3 linked regions of the Schizosaccharomyces pombe genome follow. Changing the gene in region 2 together with the main gene of any one other region gives a genetic interaction. Each region holds a gene or a part of one and is shown on either strand. Other genes may lie near its edges.

The links.
Region 1: mutations in ccp1 (region 2) and pht1 together harm fitness more than expected from each alone (negative genetic interaction), as found in Schizosaccharomyces pombe (3 studies listed by BioGRID, with this or other methods).
Region 3: mutations in ccp1 (region 2) and mub1 together harm fitness more than expected from each alone (negative genetic interaction), as found in Schizosaccharomyces pombe (2 studies listed by BioGRID).

Annotation. Positions count from the first base shown.
Region 1 is NC_003423.3:1,501,703-1,505,425, reverse strand, and holds pht1 (histone H2A.Z-like protein Pht1), read left to right. Parts: upstream 1-1,981; 5' UTR 1,982-2,364; coding exon 2,365-2,784; 3' UTR 2,785-3,223; downstream 3,224-3,723. Other genes in the region: cytochrome c oxidase assembly protein Shy1, read right to left, coding at 1-8. UniProt on the Schizosaccharomyces pombe protein: Variant histone H2A which can replace H2A in some nucleosomes. Nucleosomes wrap and compact DNA into chromatin, limiting DNA accessibility to the cellular machineries which require DNA as a template.
Region 2 is NC_003423.3:2,392,083-2,398,572, reverse strand, and holds ccp1 (CENP-A histone disassembly chaperone Ccp1), read left to right. Parts: upstream 1-2,991; 5' UTR 2,992-3,011; coding exon 3,012-3,084; exon of another isoform or gene 3,085-3,174; coding exon 3,175-3,285; exon of another isoform or gene 3,286-3,354; coding exon 3,355-3,870; exon of another isoform or gene 3,871-3,963; coding exon 3,964-3,998; 3' UTR 3,999-4,130; coding exon of another isoform or gene 4,131-4,779; 3' UTR 4,780-4,870; coding exon of another isoform or gene 4,871-4,899; 3' UTR 4,900-5,004; exon of another isoform or gene 5,005-5,015; intron 5,016-5,066; 3' UTR 5,067-5,101; downstream 5,102-6,490. Other genes in the region: eIF2 alpha kinase Gcn2, read right to left, coding at 1-1,732, 1,782-1,898; tlg1 (SNARE protein Tgl1), read right to left, coding at 4,131-4,779, 4,871-4,899; protein mug20, read left to right, coding at 5,470-5,603, 5,647-5,914, 5,969-6,022; pib1 (ubiquitin-protein ligase E/phosphatidylinositol(3)-phosphate binding protein), read left to right, coding at 6,476-6,490.
Region 3 is NC_003423.3:3,766,106-3,771,696, reverse strand, and holds mub1 (armadillo-type fold protein, zf-MYND type zinc finger protein, Mub1-Rad6-Ubr2 ubiquitin ligase complex Mub1), read left to right. Parts: upstream 1-1,712; 5' UTR 1,713-2,719; coding exon 2,720-4,444; 3' UTR 4,445-5,091; downstream 5,092-5,591. Other genes in the region: protein Cwf4, read left to right, coding at 1-664; mediator complex subunit Med10, read left to right, coding at 5,416-5,591.

The sequences.
Region 1 (3,723 bases), 890 kb from region 2:
CAAAACATGATAGACAGGAATCCAAGATTCAATCGAAACAAAAATAAAAAGAAAAGATTAAATCCTAAAAGGAATCAAACAATTGATATTTATATTCAATTCAAAAACTTTTAAAATGTTGCAAAACGGAGTTAACTTGAATGGCCTCTACTAGCAGCAAAATCCCACTCAGGTCTTCTGATACTACTGTAAAGCGTAAGTAGAATAGGGCAATTGACTAGAATCTTCTAAGCGAAAACGGAATATTGCTATAAAGAAATAAAATTTTCTTAGTCAAATCCTTCGACAAGTAAGATACTGTTCAATACGGGGCCAGTTTGTTGATGTTGACAGCTAAGAGAGACGCGAATGTCTAAGTAGGTACCTTTGCGTATTCACTCCAAGCTTCTACAAGTCACATGTCTTTTTTAAGTAAAGGAAGCGAAATCTGCGCTATAGTTAAATAATATAATAGCTTAACATTTGTTATCTTTCGATAAAGCAATATATGTTCTTACGACGTATGTTTTAAAGTAAACAATCGTCTTTATTAGTATGAAACTATGAATTGGTTTTTATGAAAAGCTAGTTGAGCAAAATTAGCGGTTTGGATTCGACATCTGAATAGAATTTTAGTTAAACTTGCTCCCACACTACTTATGCCCAAAGTTTTACCGAAGTTGACAGTTTAATCAACAATTCCTGAATTTGCTTATACTTGGTGTATCCTTTCTAAAAAAAAACTAGAAGATTTTTGTTACTGTACTTGAAAATACCTATTATAATCTGTGGCTACAACATCACAAGGTCAGAGTCTATACCCATTGTTCTTGGCTACAAAAGATCAAGTCCAGAAGGAGCTATCCATAACCAATATTACAAGGCATGCAAACATATTTTGAGAGTACATCATGACTTGTTAGGCAAGTAGTAAGAAAGACGGATATAAAAAAATAGCCTACAGCACCCCGGATTCCCATGTTGTCTCCAACCATAGTACTAACGAGGCCCTCAGACGCTTAACTGCAGTGATCGGACGGGAACTGGTGTTTTCGCCTAGGTATGGCCGTAGACATTAAACATTCTAGTTTATAAATTATAAAGGTTAGAAAAAAAGTTTACCGGTAGTTTATAAGTTGTTTGAAATTAATGGGTAAAGGTTTTTGTGCTTTTATTTTAGTTTATTGCAAACATAAATCAGAGCTTTAAAGTTTGTATTTAGTATAACCATACATTAAGAATTGCGAAACAACTGCAGACTCCAAATTTAGACTGGAAAACGTCTTACTCGGAAAAGAGATTTTGCTGCTATTTTATCATTATTAACACTCACTTTGCTATTAACGTTACAGTCATATTAATATCATACCCAAAAATTTGAAATCTTTTTTCCGCATGAAAAAGAATATAATATAATGTATATGCCTCCACTCGGAATCGAACCAAGGATCTTCGCATTACAAGTGCGATGCTGTACCACTAAGCCATAGAGGCAGTATCGTCGGAATGTATTTATTAAATTATATATACTAATGCTAGTTTTAATACTCGACAAGTTGGCTGGTCAAAAAGTAGTTTCTTAATCTGCTGTTACTGATCGCTTTCGACAATAACAATTAAATAATAGTGCAGTTTATTTATTTAAAAGTCTTTTGTTGACATAGGATTTTGTTCAAGATAAATGGTTGAATATAGTTTAGTAGAACTACAACCTGCAATCAGGCAAAAAGCATGAACAAACTAATATAGCTCTAAAGTAAAAAACTATTTGAATCATTTGCTATACAGATTATTAGGCACCGACCCTTCAGTTATTTGACTACAAATGTTAACATGTCAATAAGTTAGGCATTCTCTGGTTTTCTTGATGTAAATAAACTGACGACATGTACCGTATCTACGTAAGAGCAATTAACGAATACTGTAACCATTTCTTATAATGCTTAACAATGTACGACATACCGCAGTGCACCCAAAAGTTTGAGTAAACTAGTACAAAGGTGTTTGGCCTCCATACACCTATGGATGTTCAAGAAAAGGCGAAAACCTAAGGATCAAATAAGTTTTTGATTAAATAAATTATATAAGGGTATTTATAAACTTACATCTATGAATATTAAACCCACAATATGAGAGTATGCAAATATGAGACGTTTCAAGAATTTAGCTGATTTTTTTATACATTAAAAAAACGTTTCATCCTTTGTCAATATTCTATAAATTTATCCTCTGTTGTTAGAAATTCGAAAACTTGATGTTTAAAGGTACAGCCCCTCTGTACGCGGCTTTATGATATTAAGACACGCACCTCGCGTTCACGAATCTGCCTTCTCCCTAACACACAAAACATTCGCTTTTTGCAATTGCAATAATCGATTCAAAATGATGTCTGGAGGCGGTAAAGGTAAACATGTTGGAGGTAAGGGAGGTTCTAAAATCGGCGAACGCGGTCAAATGTCGCATTCAGCTCGCGCTGGTTTACAATTTCCTGTTGGACGTGTTCGACGCTTTTTAAAGGCAAAAACTCAAAATAATATGCGCGTCGGTGCAAAAAGTGCTGTATATAGTGCTGCAGTCCTTGAATATTTGACCGCTGAAGTCTTGGAACTTGCGGGAAACGCGGCAAAAGATTTGAAGGTCAAACGTATCACACCTAGACATCTTCAACTTGCTATTCGAGGTGATGAGGAGTTGGACACTTTAATTCGTGCTACAATTGCGGGCGGTGGTGTATTGCCTCATATCAATAAACAGCTCTTGATTCGTACAAAGGAAAAATATCCCGAGGAGGAAGAAATTATTTAATCATTTTTGTGTTTTCGTTTCTTTTTACAATCTAAGGATTTATTTTATTTAATTGGTTACCTTTTTCTATGATTAAAGCATGGAAAGTAAAATGTGCATGCGCAGTTTAATGGAAATGCTCTTCCCTCCATGTATTTGCTCCCTTTTCATTCCTCTCAAGCCTCCAAACAAATTTGTCCTGCGTTTCATCTTTAGACGTTATATTTCCAATATGTCTCGTTTCATTCTGTCCAATTACACTTTGCCAGGTTCAATCGTTAGTATGTATCCATGCATCTAGTGGTTTCTCCTGCGCTGTTTAGTTTTACTTCTTGTTTATACGATTTATTAATTTTGAATTTTTCCAAACGCTCTAGGTATAGACTTAAGCTGTAAATGATGCTCGCTTAGCGTTCAATATAGTGTGAAATACAAATATTCATATCACTTTCATCTTGTAAAATTTAATAAACACGTATGTCTGTTGAACAATAAGCACATTTACGTTCTTTTACCGTTTGCTCGTAAAATTAATTCACCTCTTTGATACTAAATACATCTAAGTAAGTGCAGTTTATATGTTCAGAGCAAACACGAACACTAAAAACTAAAGTCTAAAGAATATACACCTTTTTTAATACTTAAGTATAAAAAATATGTAAATAGAATATAGTATAAATGAGGATTAAAAAACTGGAAAACAAAGGATAAGAGTAAGTAAGAAAAAGGGAGATTAAAAGGCTTCAGTTTTATCAGGAATGAAAGAAAAATAGATTTAAACACTCAGAGCCTGCTTTTGTAAAAAGAACGGCGATAATTCCCTTGACAGTCAAAGAAAGCATTTAAAGTGATATTTACAATAAAGACACAGTAAAGGGAACAGAACTAAAAACGTTACTAAATTCACATTTAATGGCAAGCTCAATATGTCAGTGTTTTTTATATGCCCTGTAAATTGCC
Region 2 (6,490 bases):
AACGCACTACATGTTCATGATGTAAACGAGACAAAGTCATAACTTCACGTAAAATTCTGCTATTCTCTTTATCATCGCTCAAAAGGACAAGCTTTTTAACCGCATAAAACCTTCCATCAATTCGATTTTTGACTTTAACTACTTCACCAAAACCGCCACGTCCTAAAAATTCAAGTTCTTCAAAATCTGTTTCATAACGTGAAACGCTTTTCCTGTACAACAAATCAATAATTCCATCCTGTTGACCACCATAAGAAGGGCGTGCAGATTTTGAAAAGGTACCCTGCTCAACTGGAGGAAGAACTGCTGTACCCAAACGAATGACATGACTACTTAACAAGTCAATGGCGCTAGGGCGTTTCCTTGAATCGCGCATTAAACAGCGACGAACCAAATCTTGATAAGACCCCGGAAGAAGAGGAATTACATGAGTCATAATCAGTTTTAGTGAAGAGAATTTATTCAAAACGTGAGCTCCACAAAGCATCTGCAATACTAATAGTCCAAAACACCAGATGTCAGTTTTTCTCGATGCAGCTGCAAATGATGACTCAGAAACCTCTGGGGGATACAGCCCTTCCGGTAGAATATTGGTAATGGATTGAGAATTAATGTTAAAAGGATGAGATGCGTTCATGTCTCGTAAAGTGCGTGTAAACCCAAAATCCATTAGCTTTGCAAAAGTTCTATGGCCTGAATGAAAAAGCACCACATTGTCCAAGTGCAAACTTTTGTGTGAAATTCCAAGACGATGCAGCTCAGCTAAACCTTCTAAAATATTGTTTGAAAAAGCTCTAACGGTTTCAACGTCTAAAGTAAGGACGGTTTGTAAAAGACTAAACAGAGTGAACTTCGGAGAATATTCTTGCAAAACGTACAACCTCCAACCATAACCTCGTGTCTCTCTTTCCAGTTGATACTCATAAATTGAAGCTAGTAAATCATGCCGAATAACTTTCAGACTTTCAAGTTCATATTCTAATTCCTGTATTTCACGTTTTCCGTCTTCTGTACTCCAGTAAGGCGTACTAATTCGGACGGTTCTAAGTAGAAAAACACAATCCTGTAAAGATATCTCTTTAGATTCAGGCTTGACCAAAGTCAAAGTAGAAAGGTTGGAATGCGAGATTGTATACAAAGGAAGCACTCTATTAAATGTAACCAAAGAATCGTGACAGTCTCTAACGGATATAGAACAATCAAAATAAATAGAAGTTGGGAGGGTTTCGAGAGAAGTTGTTTCCTTACTATTCGTCTTTTTCTTAGAAGAAGATTGCGGTGTTTCGTATGAGCGGCGTTGTAATTCATCTTGAATTTTGTTCTGAAGCGTTTGTTCTTCCTCAAATAAGGCATCTTTCTCCCGTTTTAACCTAAGTTGTAAATCCACTTCCGCTCTCTCTCGATCATGCTTTAGTTGTACCGCACGTTCCTCTTCCAAGCTAGCAAATTGAGAAGAGAGGTCAGACTGCCAATCATTAAGATAGTCCTGCACTATACTGGCAAGTTCAAAAATCATTTCCTCTCCTAGCAAGTCTTTTGCCTTTGTATCTAACTTATCAAGCAAAAATCGAATCTGAGAGTTTAGGACATTTTCTCCATTTTGTAACTTGATCACTGGTTTCACATAAGGATAGCTTCTTCCAAGCTCAATACAAAGATCAAGTTTCGCAATACTTTTAGAGTTTGCACTTCTTGAACATAGATGTATACAATAAACATGGCCGTTTGTAACCTAAGATACCATTGTTAGTAAATGGGTAGTGAACAAACATTAATCATACATTCCAAGCATTCCTAACTTTCAACTCCTCAAAATCATCCATAAAAATGGCTTTGAGGGCCTCAATTTCATTTTCTTGAATTTCCTTGCATAGTTCCAGACGTTTCGCCGCATCCATGAACAGCTTTTACCAACTATTGTTGCCAATAATTTACTAGTTTAATAGGAAGCAAATATATTTATTCACAATTAAACTGTTGGTTGAAAATTCGTCCTGTGTAAACTGGAAGGAAAGAAAGCAAATCAGTTTATATCAGGACGGCAATATAGGACTTGAAAATATAATTATTATCAATTCTATTTCTTTTCTTTCCTCTGAATTGGATTTTTAGATAAATTGCTTGTTTGCCGCGAATTTGCTGGAGGAAGAAGTTTCTCGCTCGTGGTATACTAAAGATGGAAGAACGCAGTATACTGGTATTGTAATGAGTATAGATTGATTTGAGCCGAATAAATGCGATAATCGGCACGGATCATACATTCTTTAGTTAAGATGTAATTTTGAGTTGGATAAGATGAATCAGACTTCAGATCTTCAATCGATAACGAACAGTTGGATATAATGATTATCTGCATTTGTATGCAAAGCGCTTCATTGTTTGAAGTGAAGCGGTCAAAAAGTTTTAACTTTTAATCGCGTTTGGTTAACTTTTCTTCATTGTTTTACCATAATCATGGATTTTTGATTAAACTACAAAGACATACTTCATAACTGATAAAATAGATACACCAGTAAACTATAACAGCGTTTCATATAATGCAATATAATACAAATTTGTAGTTGCATTCGAAATGTTATACCTTTTTTCCTCCTCTCCTTTCTTCATCATGGTCAGGAGAAGTTTGGAAAATGCAAGCACGCTAGCCTGAAAGCTCGAAACCGCGCAAACTACAGTTTATTTTCTAATTTTACTCTTTGTTCAGACTAATAAGTTATTACACTTATAAAAACAACCTATGAAAATGGTGTGAGTTAAAAACTAGAATCCTGCTCGATTACTAGTAATATGGATGGTTTGTATACTGTTGAAAAAGTCAAGGTTAAATTATTGCAAGCTACAGAAGCTACGGCAGTCATTATATTGGAAAGTAAAGCCTCTGATATACTTTGCTAGCATTGTTCATCGTACGTAAAAACGTGGTAAGGGTAGTGCCTTCATCATCGTTGACGAAGTGAGAATTTTCGAATTACTATTAGATTTTTCTCCCTTGCACGAAATTAACCTACAAAATGGAGGCAGCTCAAGCTTTTGAAAATCTCGCAAACCTAGAGCAAGAGTTTGGAAAAGCAGAAATCGAAATATGTATGTTTAATCGATTTTGCATTTTTGTAGCATAAAATTACGTTTTTTATAAAAAATGTGTTAACAATTGCTAATGTATCTTGGTGCTAGTGAAGAAACAAAATGAGCTTTTTCAACCGCTTTTTGAGCAGCGTCGTGATATTTTGAAGACCATTAACAACTTTTGGGTAGTAGTTCTGGAAGCTGCTGGGGATGAAATCAGTATGTAAAATTGTATACTATTATTGTTTTTGTTTAAACATTGTTGAAATTCTAATTAAGTTATTTCAGGCCAGTACATAACACCTGAAGATAGTGTGTTACTTGAAAAACTCGAAAATATTTATGTTGAAAGGTTTAATGAAAAGGAACCAAGGGATGTCCGAATTTCGCTTACCTTTCAACCAAACGAATATCTTCAGGACGACAACCTTACCTTGGTAAAAGAAGTGAGAATTAAAGAGGAAAAAGCAAAGGATGATGAGGGTTTGGAAAAAAAGATAACCAAGTATACTTCGCAACCTGTTGATATACATTGGAAACCAGGAAAGAGTTTATTTAGAAAAAATAAAAAATTACCTCCTAATTTTTTTGACTATTTTCAATGGACCGGAGAGGAAGAGGACGATGATTTTGATGGAGCAACACTCACAATTTTTCTGGCAGAGGATCTTTTTCCAAATGCTGTAAAATATTTTACAGAAGCCATGACCGAAGAAGCGAGTGATGAGGATGAGTCAGTAGATTTGGAGGAAGATGAGGAAGAAGAAGACGAAGAAGACGAAGAAGGGGACGAAGAAAAGCAAGGTACGAAAACAGGTCTTAAAAAAATAAGGCGAAAGCATGAATAGATGATATGATAGATGTCAATGTATTGTAAAACTAACACAAAAATCGCAGAACCACCTTCCAAAAAGTCCAAGAAGTCTAATTAATTTAAGGAACGAGAACACAGACATGAAATTTTTTTTGTCTTCCCAAAGCTCGAGGTTACCTATGGAATGATTGGTTATTCGTTTATTGGGAAGATGGTTCAAAGAATTAAATAATACAATATAAAGATTTAGTTACAGCACAATAACCAATACCAACAATGCAATTAAGATGATAATGAGTACGGTAATACAACATCCAGATTTAGAGTCTGCGCTTGCAATCGTAAAATCTTTCAACCGCTTCATACCCCTGCGAAGCTTACTATTAGTGGTCTCAATGGAATTGTCAAGAGTATCTAACAAGTCAGCCTGTTGACCCAATTCTTCGCCCATCAAAGCTGCCTGCCCACGAATGTTTCCAATCGTGTCGTAAACCCCGTCCAGCATTACGTCTTGTTGCTGATAAAGCTGCTCTTGATATTGTCGATTGACAGCATGATCTTCTTCAGACAAACCAGCTGAGGCACCATTGTCAACAGTATAAGGTTCTGTAGAAACTGGTGTGCTTGGGGCAGCACCCATCTTTAACTGTATATTGTTTAACTCAATATCCAGTTCCGAGACAAATCTCCTTCTCGACTTTAGTTCTTCTTCATCTAACCCAAAATGCTCAGAATTTTTCATCGCTATTTCCACAGCAGCTTTTAAGTCCTTCAATGTTTCGCTTAACTCATCAATGGCGTAAGTAAGCTCAGTATTTGGTGAAAGGACTCCAGAGTTTCGTGCGGCCATAAAAGAATTGTAAAGCTTTCGCACTTGCTCCATTTGATTTGATGCATCCCTATATTTCGAATAAATGTCAGTTAAATAAAATCTTAAAGCAACAAAAGGAATCTATTAAGACATTTCTGGTTCATCATTGCACAACTTACGCTTTGACTTCATAAAAGGGGTCCTCCATGTTGATGATGTAGAGATATGAGCCAATTTTCTACTTGGAAATGCTTTTATAATTTAAAGAAAAATAAGATAATATAAAATAAACGAAGCAAATTCGTATTATCAGGTATGCTGTCTGCAAATACTAAAGTACTGTGCTGATTCAGTCAAGTAACGACTTTACGATAGATAACGCTACCTAACTGCTCACTCAAAGATCACCGTAAACATTGAGTCCTTACAAAACAAGTAATGGAGAATAAATAAGAAAGCAATATCTCAATCTTGTTGAAAAAACAGCAACCTCCCCTTGTCACTATTTTGTTTTGATTCAACCGTATTCCACCGTTGTATGTTAGATTAAATGTAAACATCTAGGTAAATAAAACGTTTTCAATGGCCAAAAGCAATCTTTCATTCTAGCCTTTGTGCTAAAAAATTAATTCTATTGCTAAAAACCTAAGACTAAATGTTTTAAGAGAAACTGAACACAAAGAAAGTCTTGTGAGCTAAAACAGTACGCTATATATCGCTAGCTTGATGTAAACAAAAGACGCGTAGACACTATTAACATGTTATCAAGAACCACAACATGTCTGAAATTATAACGTCTTTGCAAACAGAGCTGAGCAATCGCCATGCTAACATGGTATCTGAAGCAGTATTAGCATTCAGTGAGCATCATGATAGTGCATTGCATTCATATTTTTTGAATGCACGTGTCAAGTACGTCCATAAGTTTCTTCAGCTAATTGACCCAACAATTCAGAGACGTGATTTTAGAAAGCCTAAGAACGACAGAGGAGAAGCTTCGTGCTTTAGATAAATTACAGCTGGATGCTTCGAAAAACCTGTCAAACCTGTTGGTGGAATATAATAGTATAAACGCAGAATTGGAGTCCGTCAATAGTAAGATCTCTTCTATTTCTTCCCAAGAATATGCATTGGAAGAATTTCAGGCACTTTCCCAGAATTTTGAGAAGAATTTAGTTCAGCATCGTCGTAATTCCCAAAATAAGCTCAAATGTGCAATGGAGGTAAACATAAAAACAAATTATATTGTCATATTACTAACCTCAATAAATTTAAAGAAACTAAAGATGATTGAAACCTCAACTCATAAAGCTATTCTCGACAATTTTTAAATTTCAGAGATCTAATGTCATACTGCCTCAAACCAAGCTTGATAATAACGAAGAAAGTCAACTTTCATCAAACACGCTGACATCGTTATATTAAGGTCTAAATGAAACGGCGCTAAATTTGCTTCTGAGCTCTATGAAACATACATAAAGAAAAGATGTTTAAATGCGTAATTTCTGATAAAGTTATTCTTCTTGGATAGCTTTTTGATATTTACTACAATTGATATTCTAAATGACTTATTATCTTATTCTCTTACGTTAACGAAGTTTAAAAAATTTATTTTGCGATATGCAGTGAGTTTTCCACTTCCACCGGTAATCATATTCCTTTGATCAGTATAAGTTACCCTTTTGTTTTGACCTTATCTCCTGAGGCAACTTTCAACACCATTCTAGCGGGTACTCAACTTTTTGCTCTCGAACATAGTTTAATGAATTTTTATCAAATTGAGTATGGACGAGGATGAG
Region 3 (5,591 bases), 1.4 Mb from region 2:
AATTCTTTATGAAAAATGGATTCTTTATGATCCCGAGGCTTGTGCTCCCTGGCTTGGTTACGCTGCCTTAGAGACTAAGCTTGGAGATAGTGATCGTGCTCGCGCTTTATATAATTTGGCTGTAAACCAGCCTATTTTGGAAACCCCAGAGCTTGTGTGGAAGGCTTATATTGATTTTGAATTCGAGGAAATGGAATACGGAAAAGCTAGAAGTATTTACCAGCAGTTACTACGGACTGCACCTCATGTTAAAGTTTGGATTAGTTTTGCAAACTTTGAAATTGCCCATCTGGAGGACGATGACGAAGAACCACCGAATGAAGAAGTGGCTTCTCCAACCGCTGTTGTGCGTGCGCGAAATGTTTTTGAAAATGCATTGGCCCATTTACGCCAGCAGGGTTTGAAGGAAGAGCGAGTTGTATTACTTGAAGCATGGAAACAATTTGAGGCAATGCATGGCACGGAAGATACACGTAAGCATGTCTCTTCACTAATGCCACAGGTTGTTAAGAAACGCCGTAGACTTGAAGACGGTTCATTCGAAGAATATTTGGACTATCTGTTTCCGGATACGGCGACTGATCAAGGAGATAAGATGCGCAAAATGCTCGAACTTTCGCGAAAATGGAAAGAGGAAATGGCTAAAAAGAAGCTGGAGGCCTAGATTACATATGACATTTATTGGCGCTATCAGTTTAATATTTAGTAATCGTGTAAAATATTAGTAATTAATTGTTTACGAGGCAATGGGTCATGTAAATGGACGTTGTTACGAAGTTGAGGATATTCAGCGCTTTGGACTGTTCGGATAATAATAAAATAACTGTTTTTGCATTTGAAAGGCCGGAATGGCGCGTAGAAATAAGACAAGCAATCCATATTAGTATTATTAACCTTGAGTTTCGATCTGAGTTTACTTACTAAGCAAGATAAGCGAAAAATTTATGGATATTATGTTGAGGGAATCACACTTGTAGAAATGAGAAAGTTGTAAACATGACAATTTTGAAGAATCCAACGCAATTCGTAAATAACACATTAAAATACAATAAAATGAAAAATCCAATCCAAAATATATTTAATATGTACATATTTATATTTATAAATTGATTGTTCTTTACCTTGCCCCATTGACATACGATCGAGTATCTACCAGTGCGACTAATTTTAGTTTTGTTACTCAAAGTGGCAGGACTCACAGGTAAAGAAGCGGCTGGTTTGGAGTTGTGCTGATCTGATGAACTTGTCAATCAAATGAGATTACAAAATCTGACATTGGTTATTTTCAGCACTGACAGCTTATTCGGACCGGTTTACCCAAATGTTCTGCTAAAGTGAATTTACAGAATACAAAAATCGGCTTATGCGACCAACGTATTAGGCAACATTTTGACTTAAAAGAAAAAATTCATACACAGATTCTGCTAAAAACTTAAAGACACAAAGATGTTCGTATGAATAAAAAATGACTGACTATAGTGAAAGAAATACCAACTGTTGCTAGTTAAAGTTGCAGCAAGTTTTTTGAGTTATTGTTGCCGAGATGTCGATCTCTTCAAAGGTAACATCCAGCATCAAAGATCGCCGAGAGTTCCCAACCATTATAGCCAGTAACAACCCAGCATACTTTGCGTTATGGTGCCTTAAAGGTACGTTCACTGACGATCGTTTTCAAACTCGGTTGACACTCGGGTGAAATGAAGTTGCCTTCTGTCAACTGCCACTTCCAAGAATCTGAATAAGAGAACGAGGATCCGGGAAATTTTCGTAAAAAGAATTCATTCAATTAAAATTAAGGGACTTGCAAAAACTATTTACTGTGGTTTTTAAGCTAAATCCTTGCGATTATAAGAAAACACTTATTCTTTGTTTATCAACAAGGCTGATTTAGCTTCACCACCGTTTTCCTTTTCCAAATCCTAACATTTTTCTTCGAACTTTACTTTTTTAATTGATGCAAATCATCTTGTGCTATTCTCTCTTCTCTTACTCTTGTCAGCTGTGATTTGATTTTCCACTAATCTTGTCTAAAAAGGTACTGAGCATATCCTTTATTTTTATTTTCAAGGTTATTGTGGTTTTCATCAAACTATTCTTATTCATTCTCTCTTTGTATCTTCGTTAATCTCGGGTTTTTTTTGTTTGCCACTTCTCTCTTTCTTTAGCCTCGTGATTTTAGCAGACCCCGGGTTACAACTTTTTCGTTGTTATACTTCCTATTGTTGAACTTACTTGATCTGTGTCGCTTCTCGGCTAAAAAAGTGCCCTTGCTCCTTACTTCCTTTTTCTTTTAGTATTTTTTTTGCTCCTTTATCAGTTCTTGACTTCAAGCTTGAGCTAACCGTAGTCCCTTTTACGTTTACTCGTTTTGAAGAATAATTGGTGTAGATTGCTTAAAAGGATTTCAAATTCGGCGGGACTTAAAATCTGCGAAAACAGTAATTTTTATTTTTTTTCGTTTTCGTGATTTTGGGGCACTACTTATTCTTCCTGCTATCGGCGTTTGTTCTTGGTTTTTCTCTTCGGTTATTGCGTTTACACACAGCAGTTTTGAAAATTATTGAGTAAAATTTTGGTATTCGAAAACTGCTTGTCTTTAACTAAAAAAAATATTATCACATCGTTCGTTTTACGCCAATCTTTGCGTTTGCCAGTAATTTATACTGCAGCAATTGTCTTTAAAAAACTTTATACGTGTTAAATATATTATTAAAGAAAGATGAGGGAATCGAACGTTAGCATCGTATGGAATAACAAAGCTTCTGTCACTATCAATACAGTCCTTTATGATCGACGTGCGCTTGACTGTGACTCCGAAATGTCATTAATGAATTCATTAAGCCATCTCGTTTATTTGACTTCGACTTCACCGAAAATTCGTGAGATCCTTACTATGGATGGTGGTTTGATGCGTTTAATGAATATTTTACGTGCCGGACGTGGACAAACATTTGCCCGAATGACAATATGGCAGCTAGCTCTTCAGTGTGTCGTAAATGTTGGGATACGTGGGTCTGAAGCTATTCGAATTCGTGTTGTGGAAGCTGGTATCGTTCCTATTGTTGTCACCCTTTTAGATGATTTTTTGTTTGCGCTTGAGTCCGTTGTTTCTCACCATTCTCGATTTCAATTTTCCCTTACACCTTCTACTACCCCTCCTCCATCATCCGCATCTGCTCCATTCCCCATTAATTCTAATATTAGCAATTCTCTTGATTCTGTGTCTCAACACAATTCATCTGCTGACTCTTTGTTCGTCAACGGTGATGTACCATCTCCATTTGGAGCTAGTACGGCAAGCTCTAGCTCTAGAAGAGTTTATTCGGTGGATTTACGGGATAGTGGAGATGTCCAACTTCCAAATCAATCTACGTTTCGACATTCCGTGAATCGTGATTTATTGGGATCAAGCTCTACCACTAGTCATGATCGATCCTCCGGCTCCATTTATTCAAATGATTCATTTCAAGATCCTCGTGTTCAAGCAAACTCTCCATTAACCATTCAAAGAATTTCATCAGCTGCACCCTCTACTCCTACTTCTACTGAAAATGTTAATTATAACATGACTACCCCTTCTTCTCCTTCATACTCTCGTCAAACAGGCCCTGCTAGTGAGACAATTAATGACGAGATAGACTCTCCAAATTTTTTCTTTCCAACTCCGCTTAATATTATGACTACTACTCAGGATTCATCACGGGATGTGCAATTGTCTTTAAATAATGTTCAATCACAGGCCTTGAATAATCGTCAGCGTCGTAATCAACTTTTACCTGGTGTTCCTTCTACATCTGCGTTATTAGATGGCCGCAGGCCCGAAAATGTAGTTGATTATCACGGGATTGCCTCATTCTTTGACAACTTTGATAAGAAGATTAATAAACTCCCTCGTGAAGAAGATATACTTTTTGGTTTGCAAATTCTTGCTTATACTAGTAAAAACTATTTCCATATGCGTCCTTACTTCGAGTCTTCTAAAGATGTTCCAAGTTTACGTATGTCGCCCTTACGTAGCGGCAGTAAAACGTGGAATATTTTTCAGTTAGTCGAGCAGTTCACCTTGAAATTCTACCCCCCACAAGTTCAATACTGGGCCAGAGCTATCATGAATAATTACTGTCGGAAAGATGAAAGTCATGGTGGTATACGTCGATGCGCCAATTTGTTATGTAACAAATGGGAAGAGCACAGTCGTCAATTTGCTAAATGCAGAAGATGCCGACGTACAAAATATTGCAGTAAAGAATGCCAGCATCAAGCATGGCCGGGACATAGTCGATGGTGTCGCGTAATTCATAAAGATGGCAGGAATTCCAAACGAGAGAGCTCAAAAATAAACTCAGTCACTGAAAGCGAATCAACAGCATCCCCGGCTGCATCTGTTATTCCTGTTGGAACAGAATCTGTAACTTCAAGCACTCAGAGTGATAGCAGATTGTAGTACTAATGACAGTTTAATGACAATTTCTATCCATTTCTTACTAGGTATGCTTACGCTTCAAATAGACTTACAGTTGGAGGTCACACATATTCTTTTAATCATTTTTCCGGCATTCAATACTACGTTTTGAATTCATTCCTTAATTCCCTTTGCCATCAATTATTATTTCATGTGCCGTGAAGAATATGAATTTCAGCTAACTCTTTACTCGCAATTAAGTTAATCGTTTAACCTTTTTTTATGCAATTAATTGCCGATACATTCAGATTTGTTCTTCTTATTATGGATATCGTGTGGTTTTAGCAGGGCAATAATCATGAAAGCTTTTGAAACCTACAGGGAGGTACGAAGGTGTGGAGGCCACTGTCCTAATTTATTAAAACTTCGAGTTTCTTTTCCGACTGTCCTTCTGTTGCTTATCGTTTTTTCTCGTAACTTAAATGCTTTTACTTAAAATAATAAACTTTTTTCTTTTCAACTTGTTTTTGTTTGACTTGGTTACTTATTAATAAATTAGTCAAAAATTATACATAGCTTTTTCGGAATAGTTAAACCTATGAACAGGGCTAAAGCAATACGATGTGATATTGCATGAAGGCTAAAGCTTTTTGTACTTGTATACCTGGAAGTCAAGAAATAGATCGTACTAATGATGCTTTCGCTAAATTGACTAAACGAAAGTATTATTTCAAGTTATCTTGTCTGTTGACGCTAATATTTATAGAACATTTAGGAGGAATCAATATTATAATGAATTCAGTATTTCTCTATTAGTAGAACAGACTTTGTAATTTGCTTATTACTATAAAATTAAACCAACTCACTTGCAAATAGTGAACTGGAAGAAGTACCGTAGTTTAAGCATAACCATTATACAGTTGAGACAGCAATAAATTGAAGGCTGCTGTATTCAGTGCACTTGTGCTGCATTAAATTGATCTTTAAACCTATTTTTATCTTTGGTTTTCGAAATGCTGCCCCAAGATGACATGACTGATGAAATGAAATCATTGGCAAGCCGTTTAGAAGACACCACTCAGGCTTTTTATGACTTGGCATTGATCGTTTATAACCTTGAAGATACTACTCCATCTGATGCCATTCCTGAAAGCCTTGATACTCTTATCAGAGATCTCAAATCTCTTCC